Linked DNA regions of Coturnix japonica. The protein of the gene in region 1 purifies or fractionates together with the protein of each later gene. This does not show direct contact. Links are inferred from orthologs where the notes say so. Each region holds a gene or a part of one and is shown on either strand. Other genes may lie near its edges.

What was found. The genes of interacting proteins can lie anywhere in the genome.
Region 2: the proteins of DICER1 (region 1) and AGO3 purify together in Homo sapiens (affinity purification with mass spectrometry; 3 studies listed by BioGRID and IntAct, with this or other methods). This does not show direct contact. The link is inferred for Coturnix japonica from reciprocal best matches to the Homo sapiens genes DICER1 and AGO3.

Annotation. Positions count from the first base shown.
Region 1 is NC_029520.1:41,612,835-41,617,305, forward strand, and holds the start of DICER1 (endoribonuclease Dicer), read right to left. Parts: upstream 2,877-4,471; 5' UTR 2,727-2,876; intron 69-2,726; exon of another isoform or gene 1-68. UniProt on the Homo sapiens protein: Double-stranded RNA (dsRNA) endoribonuclease playing a central role in short dsRNA-mediated post-transcriptional gene silencing.
Region 2 is NC_029538.1:3,712,304-3,716,619, forward strand, and holds the start of AGO3 (protein argonaute-3), read right to left. Parts: upstream 3,010-4,316; 5' UTR 2,772-3,009; coding exon 2,753-2,771; intron 1-2,752.

The DNA.
Region 1 (4,471 bases):
GAGGCAAGGGAACACTGTAACCATCTCTCTGCTCTGCCAACTATATCTGCCAAGCTCAGTATCCACAGTTTGTAATAACTATATGAGAGAAAAAGAAAACTGGATTTTCTCATTGAGAATTATGGAACATGGCATAACTCATTGTAATTGAAGAAGCACAGAATCACAGAATAACTCGGGTTGGAAGGGACCTCAAGGATCATGTAGTTCCAACCCCCTGCCTGGCAGGGCCACCAAACATACACCTTTACTAGATCAGGTTGCCCAGGGCCCCGTCCAACCTGGCCTTGAACACCTCCAAGGACGGGGCATCCACAACCTCCCTGGGCAGCCTGTTCCAGGGCCTCACCACTCTCCTAGTGAAGAACTTCCCCCTAACATCCAACCTAAATCTTCCCTCTTTTAACTTAAAACCATTTCCCCATGTCCTGCTATTGTCAGGCCTTTCAAAGAGTTTACTCCCCTCCTGGGAGTAAGTTCCCTTCAGGTATTAGAAGAATGTTTTAATGCAACTAGAACAACCCTGAAATAAAGGTTGTCAGTAGTCCTAGCACTTACTCTAATGCTCACTATCCCTAAAGAATCTCTAATCCTTTGCAAATTCTTCTGTATACTGTAAATGAGAGTTCAACCTTATACAGAGTACGTCAACTCCAAGCTTACCACCACATTCATTTCTCTAATCTCCTTGCTCTTCTAAAAAGTACAGGCGTATTCACTTTTATTTTTTTGGCCAGCAATTTGCATTCAGATCAACACATACTTGGTCCATTCACGGTGAAAGAGAATACAGATGAAGTAGTGAAGTTTTGCATCAAGGAACAGGAATCTCACAGGTTTTTTAACTGGGATTTGCGTACACCATACAGTAGTCTACCAGTACCCAATGGAGGACAACTACAAAGGAGTATAACAGCAAGACCTCCTACTGACACCTTTCACAGTCACCTTGTTGTTTTCTGTGTATGGGATGCTTGAGCATTCCAAAGATGCTACAGCACCAGGAACTGTAGCTACATATGATATAGCAGCATGTGATCTATAGTTCTATTGCCTTATTTATTTATTTATAAATTACAGGAACCTTTCAAGAACAGATGAAAAAAAGCTACTGCTTTCTATCAACTTCGCTCATGACTTTAACTTCAATCTCTTACCCTTCCTCTTGCAACTCTTCCCCTGTGTAAGAAGTCCTAATGAACTTTCTCCCTACCTTTGTGCTTAGTCTAAAACCAACTTTTTGAGGTAGAAGAGAAAGACAGCAAAAAACACCCAAACTGCATTTAGTATTACATATGTTGGCCCAGCAAGGACCTATACACCGCTATATACTACTATATACCGATGGCCTTTTATTTTCACTTATTTGCAAGTCCTGATGGTTCTTTTTACTTCTTGACTGAGTGCTGAGCTGCCACTTTCACAGAAACATTATCACTAAGATGATTTCATACCTAATTTAAAGTTCAGCACTTCTGTACAAGCATATTTATTTTAATCCCCCAGATTAATAAATTAAATAGTAACAATGCTCTGATCATACACCTATTAGCACCTTCCAGCTTCTAATACCTCCAAACCTTATACTGTAATCTTCATAACTACAAGTGTTGTAGACACAGACAATGGAAAAACCCCCTCTTCAGAAAAAGATTTAGGAGAATAGTTATGGTATATAGGGAGTAAACTCCAGTTTGTCTCTATATCAAATTATGGGAGGAAAAAAAAATAACCAAGACAACTTATTAAAGCTACATATGCAGTATGCACTTCAACACAACAACAAAAGTAGCTTATTAAAAGAAAAAGGCATATACAGAAAGTATAAAGCACAATATACCATAATGTAAACTGAGTGCCTGCAGTTAATTCTTTTGATTTTTCAGTTGGGTCTTTTTTCTTTAAGAATGGTCATCACCTTCAAACCTACAGCTTCCACCACTGTAGCCCCCTGCATAACTTGGGGTTCAACATCTCGATGTCCAGAACACTCATAACATATCATCTGAAGTGCCAAATCCCCGCCATTTGAAGTCAGTAGGGAACTATTTTTGGAAATAATCATTTCCGGGGAATGACAATAAGCAAAAACAAAACAAGCTTTTTTTTTTTTTTCCTCCTAGAGGTCAATACCACAGCCCATGTTTTTAGTATTAATTTACCGAATATATCAGCTTACTAACGTGCCTTTTAACCTTTTGTTCTTTCACAAAGCACCAGGTGTGCCTCTATCACTCTGCTACTACACTTTCTTCACTCCCCTAAACTGTAAGACGACGGGAGCACAACGAAGAGCCGCGATCTTCCTTCCCCGCCTTTAGCAGCGGGCTCCCAGCAGAGAGTTCTCCCCATGCTCCGATCCTCGCCCCGAACCCATCGGGACAGGACACGGGGGATCGGAGCTCCGCAGCCTCACACCGGGCCTTCCCCGCGGGCCCTACGCAGACAAAGCCGAGCAGGACCAAAGCGCGGCCCTCACACCCCGCACGCTGCCGGGAGCTGCCGAGGCCGACGGTGGGGATCCGAGCCCGGCCTCAAGACGGGCGAGGCCCCGTAGGGACGAGGACGGTCGCTGGGCCAGAGGCGGGGCACGGCTCACCGGGACCCGGCGGCGAGAGGCGGGGAGGGAGCGGCCGCCGCCATCCCACCCACCCACCGCGGCGGAGCGGGCTCCGCCACGCAGCTCCCGGGGCGACGGGCAGGCGAGCCCGGCCGCCATCTCCTACCTGCTCGGACGGACCCGGCGCTGCACCCTGCTACAGGCCACGTCTCATTGTGCTGCAGCCGCCACCGCCATTTCCCCGCTGCCGCCGCCTTGCTCCCCCCAGCTGTCAGGTTCCTCCATTCACCTGGGCCCGCGACGGCCTCCTCCTCCTTCTCCTCCCCCCGCTTTCCCCCTGCGCTGCCGGCCCTACGCAAACGGAGCACCTCCCTCCCGTACCAACGAAGGCCGCCCAGCGCCTGCGACGCAAACCCGCTTCGAGAATTCCACCCTGCGCAGCTTACGCTCTGCGTCCCCGCGACATGAAAGGAATCGAGCAATTGGCGGCGAGACCCAGATAAAAGGTGAAAGGTTCACAAAGCAACCAATGCGGCGAGGCGACACAACGGCTGCTCGGGAGCTGCCGGGTGGTCCAAGAGCTCACGTGTGTGCGCCTTCCCCTCCGGAGCATGGCGAGGATCGCGGCCTCCTCTTTTCCTCCGCTCCTTCCTCGCGCACGCGCTGAAGGGAGGGCGGCGGCCGCCATCTTGGCAGGGCTGTGATGGGTGAGCTCTGCGGGCTGTGGAGATGGCGAGGCCGCCTGCAGGGCGCTGTTTTTCCCTCTGAAAGACCAGCTGTCTGCCCTTTCTTCAGTAACATTCCGAGATACAACGCTTTAAGTGCCCCAAAAAATCTCATGAATGTAGCTTTTTAGCTGATGTAACTTCACTGTCAAAACCCTTCAGGTGAAGCGTCGAAGAGAAGCAAATGGGTTGTGCATAAACAATAGAACACAGTTTCTCTTGTATGTCACATGCTGCTGTTTTCCGGCTTTTATTTCCATGATGCAATTGACATCAGTGTTTAAAAGTCCTTGGGAAAACTGATAAATACTAAAAAGCCTTGAGTTTACCTAAACTGGGCAGCAGTGCCACATGACTGCTAACTCCCTAACTCCTACCTTTCTTAGCATCATCTGCTGACATCGTTCTCTTTGTGACTGGTGAGAAGACGGAACCCTCCTCCCAGAGATGAAGCTAATAATCAAAGCTCCAGTCTTGATTATTGCATGACTTAGACCCATAGGTGAAGCCTGAACCAGAGAGATGCCCAGGGCAAATAAGGATAACTTGTAGATTCATATGTTGAGTTTAAAAGTCCCTCAAGCCTAATGTCAGCTGGGATGGATCATCAGGGAATTGAAGTGTAGTAATCACATCCTATTTCTGTCTGGTTCCATCTGCATGTGTGTGACAGTTTGGTGGAACTATTAATGTCCAGTTATCAATTAGAGCAGTGTTGGAGCACAGAATTGAAGCTTCAGTCTTGAACAGCTTTGTCTGGAAGCAACCTTGAAAAGCTGCATCTACCTCAATTCACAAGGTCTTACCTGTTCTTCAGCACACTGCGCTCACCTTTTGCTGAGTTGGTCCACGTTCATCAGAGCCCACATCAGCTGTTTAGATTGTCCTGTCCCTTTCCATGGGTTTAACAACTCATCCTTTTTACCTTGGTGCCCTCTTCAAGGAGTTTCACTTACACTACGAACAAATTAAATCATTGACTAACAAGAGATATTTTGGTGGTGGTTGGTGATGTTCTTTTTTTTCCTGGGTGGGTTAAAAAGACTAAAAGATGTACTAAAAGATGAAAGCAAGTAGCAAGTCTTATTGCTGGGGCAACATTTTTTTTGGTCTCATTTCATTTTCTAACTGCAAGGTTTAATTTTTCTGCTTAACTTCCCTTCATCCTTCACTCACATATGTCCAA
Region 2 (4,316 bases), on another chromosome or scaffold:
TTTACAGCAAGAAGAAATACTGCTTTCTAGCAAGATGCTAACAGGAGATAAGGGTTTCCTTACATCAGCCTTCTGTAGGGAAGGGAAGCCAGTACCAGGCTTCCAGCATGAGATTAACCATTTTCACACTGTGGGCTTCAGCATTACAAATGTTAAAAATACAAATAGACGCTCAGTTAATCCAGACCTCTAAGCAAAGGGTGGCTGAGCAGATCGGGGGCTGTGATGGAAGACATGACAGGTATGGGCTCAGAACACAGACCTGGCAGCCCTGGCTGCATCCAGAGGACGGAGAGGAAGATCCCCTTTCACAGGGCCCCTTTCTGCTCAGGCTGTGGAGCTCAGAGAGAATCCAACCAGCAGCAAGACACGAGTCAATCCAGACACTCTGGATTGAAACAACAGGGTGAGGAGATCCTATGTAAGCACTGGTTTCCATAATAATAATAATAATTCCTTCCCTATGCCAGAAATCATGAATTCCCTTATTTCTGCAGCAGCAACCTCTCTGGGTGGCATTACATTATTGATGAGTAACGCAATCCACGTTTTCTCAACATTCCTACTCGCAATTTAGGCTCTGCTTTAAAGAAAAAAACAGTTCCAGACAATAAGTCATGTTAGAACTCATCGCTCCATCCATCCACCGCTGCTCTGCTTTCAGTTCCCATTGCCCCATGTACAGCCTGAGAGCAGAACAAGACCCCAGGCACACGATGCAGGACTAAGCTTAGAGCCACACTACCAGGAAATAGAAGTAATTTCTTACAGTGAAGCTTATTCTTTAGGCAGAATAAAGTGTGATTTACGCCCTCAGCAAGTTTTGCAGGTGATGAAGGTTAAAAGGAGCAGAGAATTAATGGCAGCACAGCACAAAGAAGTGAGGAACAACGCCTGATGAACATTAAGAACCAAATCAATCCGTATCCATCTCTAACCTTGCCCTCAGCTGAAGGTAAATGCTTCCCTTGGCACCCCAGTCACAAAACCTATTCTAACATAAGAGAAAAATGATTTAGTTAGCAAGATCTCTGCCCCCCTGGCAGGACACTGTGCTGCCTGTCCTCACTGCAGCTCCCAGCCTTGGGACCATTGTTGAGCTCTCAGCCCATCCCAGATGCTGCCTCTCAGTCCTTCGCTGCAGGAATTGCTGGCTCTGGATGCAGTGGGGGGCTGCTGCTCCACTGGTGTCATTTAAATGCAGACCAGATGTGTCCAAAAGCCTCATGTTCCCGTTATTTCATTTAAAACTCTTTTAGAAATTAGCTTAAGCTACATCCCACCCGACAATTAAACCCCTATGGAAGCAAAGCGACGGGGAAGAAACCATTTGTGAAGTTGGTACTTCGATTCCAGCAGCTTCCACTGCAATTCCACAGAGGCGAAGTTCCATTGTAACTCACATCACATGCATTCCTGACCAGAGTAGCTGCTGAAGGCACTTATGATTCATTCCCCCCTTTCTTCTCAACCCCACCCACAAAACTAGAACTTCTAATGGTCCTCCCAAGCCACCAACCTCAACACAGCGAGGCATTCTGTCTGCTACAAGCTCCTATGGAAAACAGACCACAGGATTAAATGATGCCTGTCATGCTTTAAAAGCACCACGACACCTTAACACTAAAAGCTCTGGATGTGGAAGGGACAAAAACTGATTCCAGAGAGAAAAGCAACTCGTTCCTGTGCTACACTTGTAAATCTGAACCTGAATCAGATCTGAATCTGAATCACGCCGGGTTATCACTATAGCTTACTCAACACACACAGACTGTTCACATGCCATCCAAATTCCAAAGGATCGTTAAAATCCAGCCCTTTCCTAACATGGTTTCAAATCCATCACTTAAGCTCATTAAGCGAGGACGCGGGTGGCGAGATTTCCCAGCCAAATCCATCACCAAGTTCAACCTCTGTACAAACACTAAAGGCGTCCATGTGTGAAGAGCCAGGGTGGGCCTGCTTAGCACCTCCAGCTCCTGCATCACATTCCAACACACCTTAAGCTTTAAGTCTCACTTTAAACACACGGTGCACAAATAACGAGCCTTTGCTTCCCACAGTACCAACCAAAACAGCAAAGGCCTGAACGAAGGGCATCACAGAATTAACAAGGTTGGGAAAGACCTACAAGATCATCTAGTCCAACCATTCCCAATACTTCCCATCTAAATCATATTCATCAATATGAATAGACATTTCTTGAACGCTCCCATGGTCGGTGACTCCACCACCTCTTTGGGCAGTGCATTATAATGCCTGACTACCCTTTCTGAGAAGCAATACTTCCTAATATCCAGCCTGAATCTCCCCTGACGCACCTTAAAACCATTCCCTCTACTTCTATCATGGATTACACGAGATTAGAGGCTCACTACAACCTCCATTCTAACTTCTAACTAAGGAAGTTATAGAGAGATATAAGGTCTCCCCTGAGCCTCTTCTCCAGGCTGAACAACCCCATCTCCCTCATTAGGCCTCATGTAGGGGCACAACCAGCCGATATGGGTGTGATTACACCCAGGCCCAGCAGCACGGACACAACCGGGATACACCGACAGCGATGCGCTCTGCATGGCACCCTCCGGCTCTTCAGGCGATACCCCGATGCTGCCGGGTTATACAATGCCCGCGGGGTTACGAAACGCTGTTCCCGGTTCCGCTGGGCCCAGCCGCTCCCCGCTGAGCCCGGCCACATCCCGCTTCTCCCCTCCCCACCCGGTGCCGCCCGGTTCCCCGTTAGGCCGCTCACCTGCGCTGCTGATTTCCATTCATGGAGCTGGGTGCAGCCACTCGGGGCTGCGGGCTCCTCCGCTGGGCTGAGCTGGGCCCGGTGGGGCTGAGCTGTGAGGGAGCAGAGCGGCTCCCGGTCCCGTTAGGCCGCAGCTCCTCTGGGCCGCTCCCGTCTCCTGAGGAGGCGGCGGAAGTTGCGTGGCCGCCCCGCAGCCCCGACTCACGCTGCCGCCCGCCGAACCTACGGCAGCCGGAAGTTCCGCCCCCGCACCGCACTTCCGGGATAAAGGCCGGAAATAAGGCGGAACCGGAAGTGCGTGAGGCGGGGCGGTAGTCAAGATGGCGGCTGTCAAGATGGCGGAGGAAGCGGGTCCGTCATGGCCCGGGCGGAGCGATAAGATGAGATGCTGCGGCCAGGAGCGGGTCCGATTGTGTGCACTGAGGGGTTACGGCGACATTTGGGATCTCCAGCCTTTGAAGTTGAATTCCTTTTAAGTCATTGCCAAAAGGACAGCAATGAACGGAGCTTTGGCCTTCATTCCATGCAAGGCCGCAGCTCAAGGCCCTGCTCCCCTCAGCTCATCATCCCCCATAGGGCTGCCCCACACTGCATAGAGCTGGGAGCAATCAGTACCAGCTATGGGGGGTGATGATATAAGCGCTCTAACAACATAAATTAGATCTAAAGGAAACTACTGGAATGTCTCCTTTATTCACATCCTGAAAGTCAGCTATGGGAGCTGATGCTGTAAAAATGTAGATATCTAAAAATCTACTGGAATGTTTCCTTCATTCAGATCCTGAAAGTGGAAACGTGATCACCACCATCACATCACCATCAGCCGTAGGGCTGAGGGATATGTCTCCATGTGGGCACCTCCTGCTGCTGTTATTGGAGCCCAGCGCCAGAGCTCAGGTACCAACCCAACAACCTGACACCATGGAGTGACAGAGATCTGCTTCCAGGGCCTCAGAGCCGGCACATGAAGCACCATTTTCTGTTACATCTTGGAAACGAGTCCCCTGAAACAGCTGATTGCTGCCATGGATGGAACCCTTCTGAGCGTGTTCTAATGTTAAAAGCAGGAAGGGATGAACAGAGTTGGTAAAGATGCTCAGTTCCATGCAGTGCATTCTAACAGCCCACATCAATTAGCTAATGAATATTTGCATGCCATTGGCAAATGCTTCCCTGCAATTGCTTCGCATTATTCAAAAACCCAGAGTTACAGCTCAGCTGCTCAATAATTCAGTGCCTAAAGGAATGTCGATACATGCACAAACGGATCCAGAGGATGGCAAACAACCTCCACTTCTGTACCCAAGACACAAGCCTAAACTTACAAGGTAAAGGACACTTGGGACGACAAAGTTGCAAGCAAAAAAAACCCCTCAGGATTAAGGCAAAAAAAAAATAAAGATGAAAATAAAAATAAACCCATCCACAAAAGCGACCAAATGAGATAGAGATACAATGTTCCGCAGCTCTTTAATCATACCGTTTTCTTTAATAAAGAGGTGGTTACGATCTTACAGTGTTACCTTTTGGCCTAATCCAAGGGTTCTGTTACTCTTTGACCGCT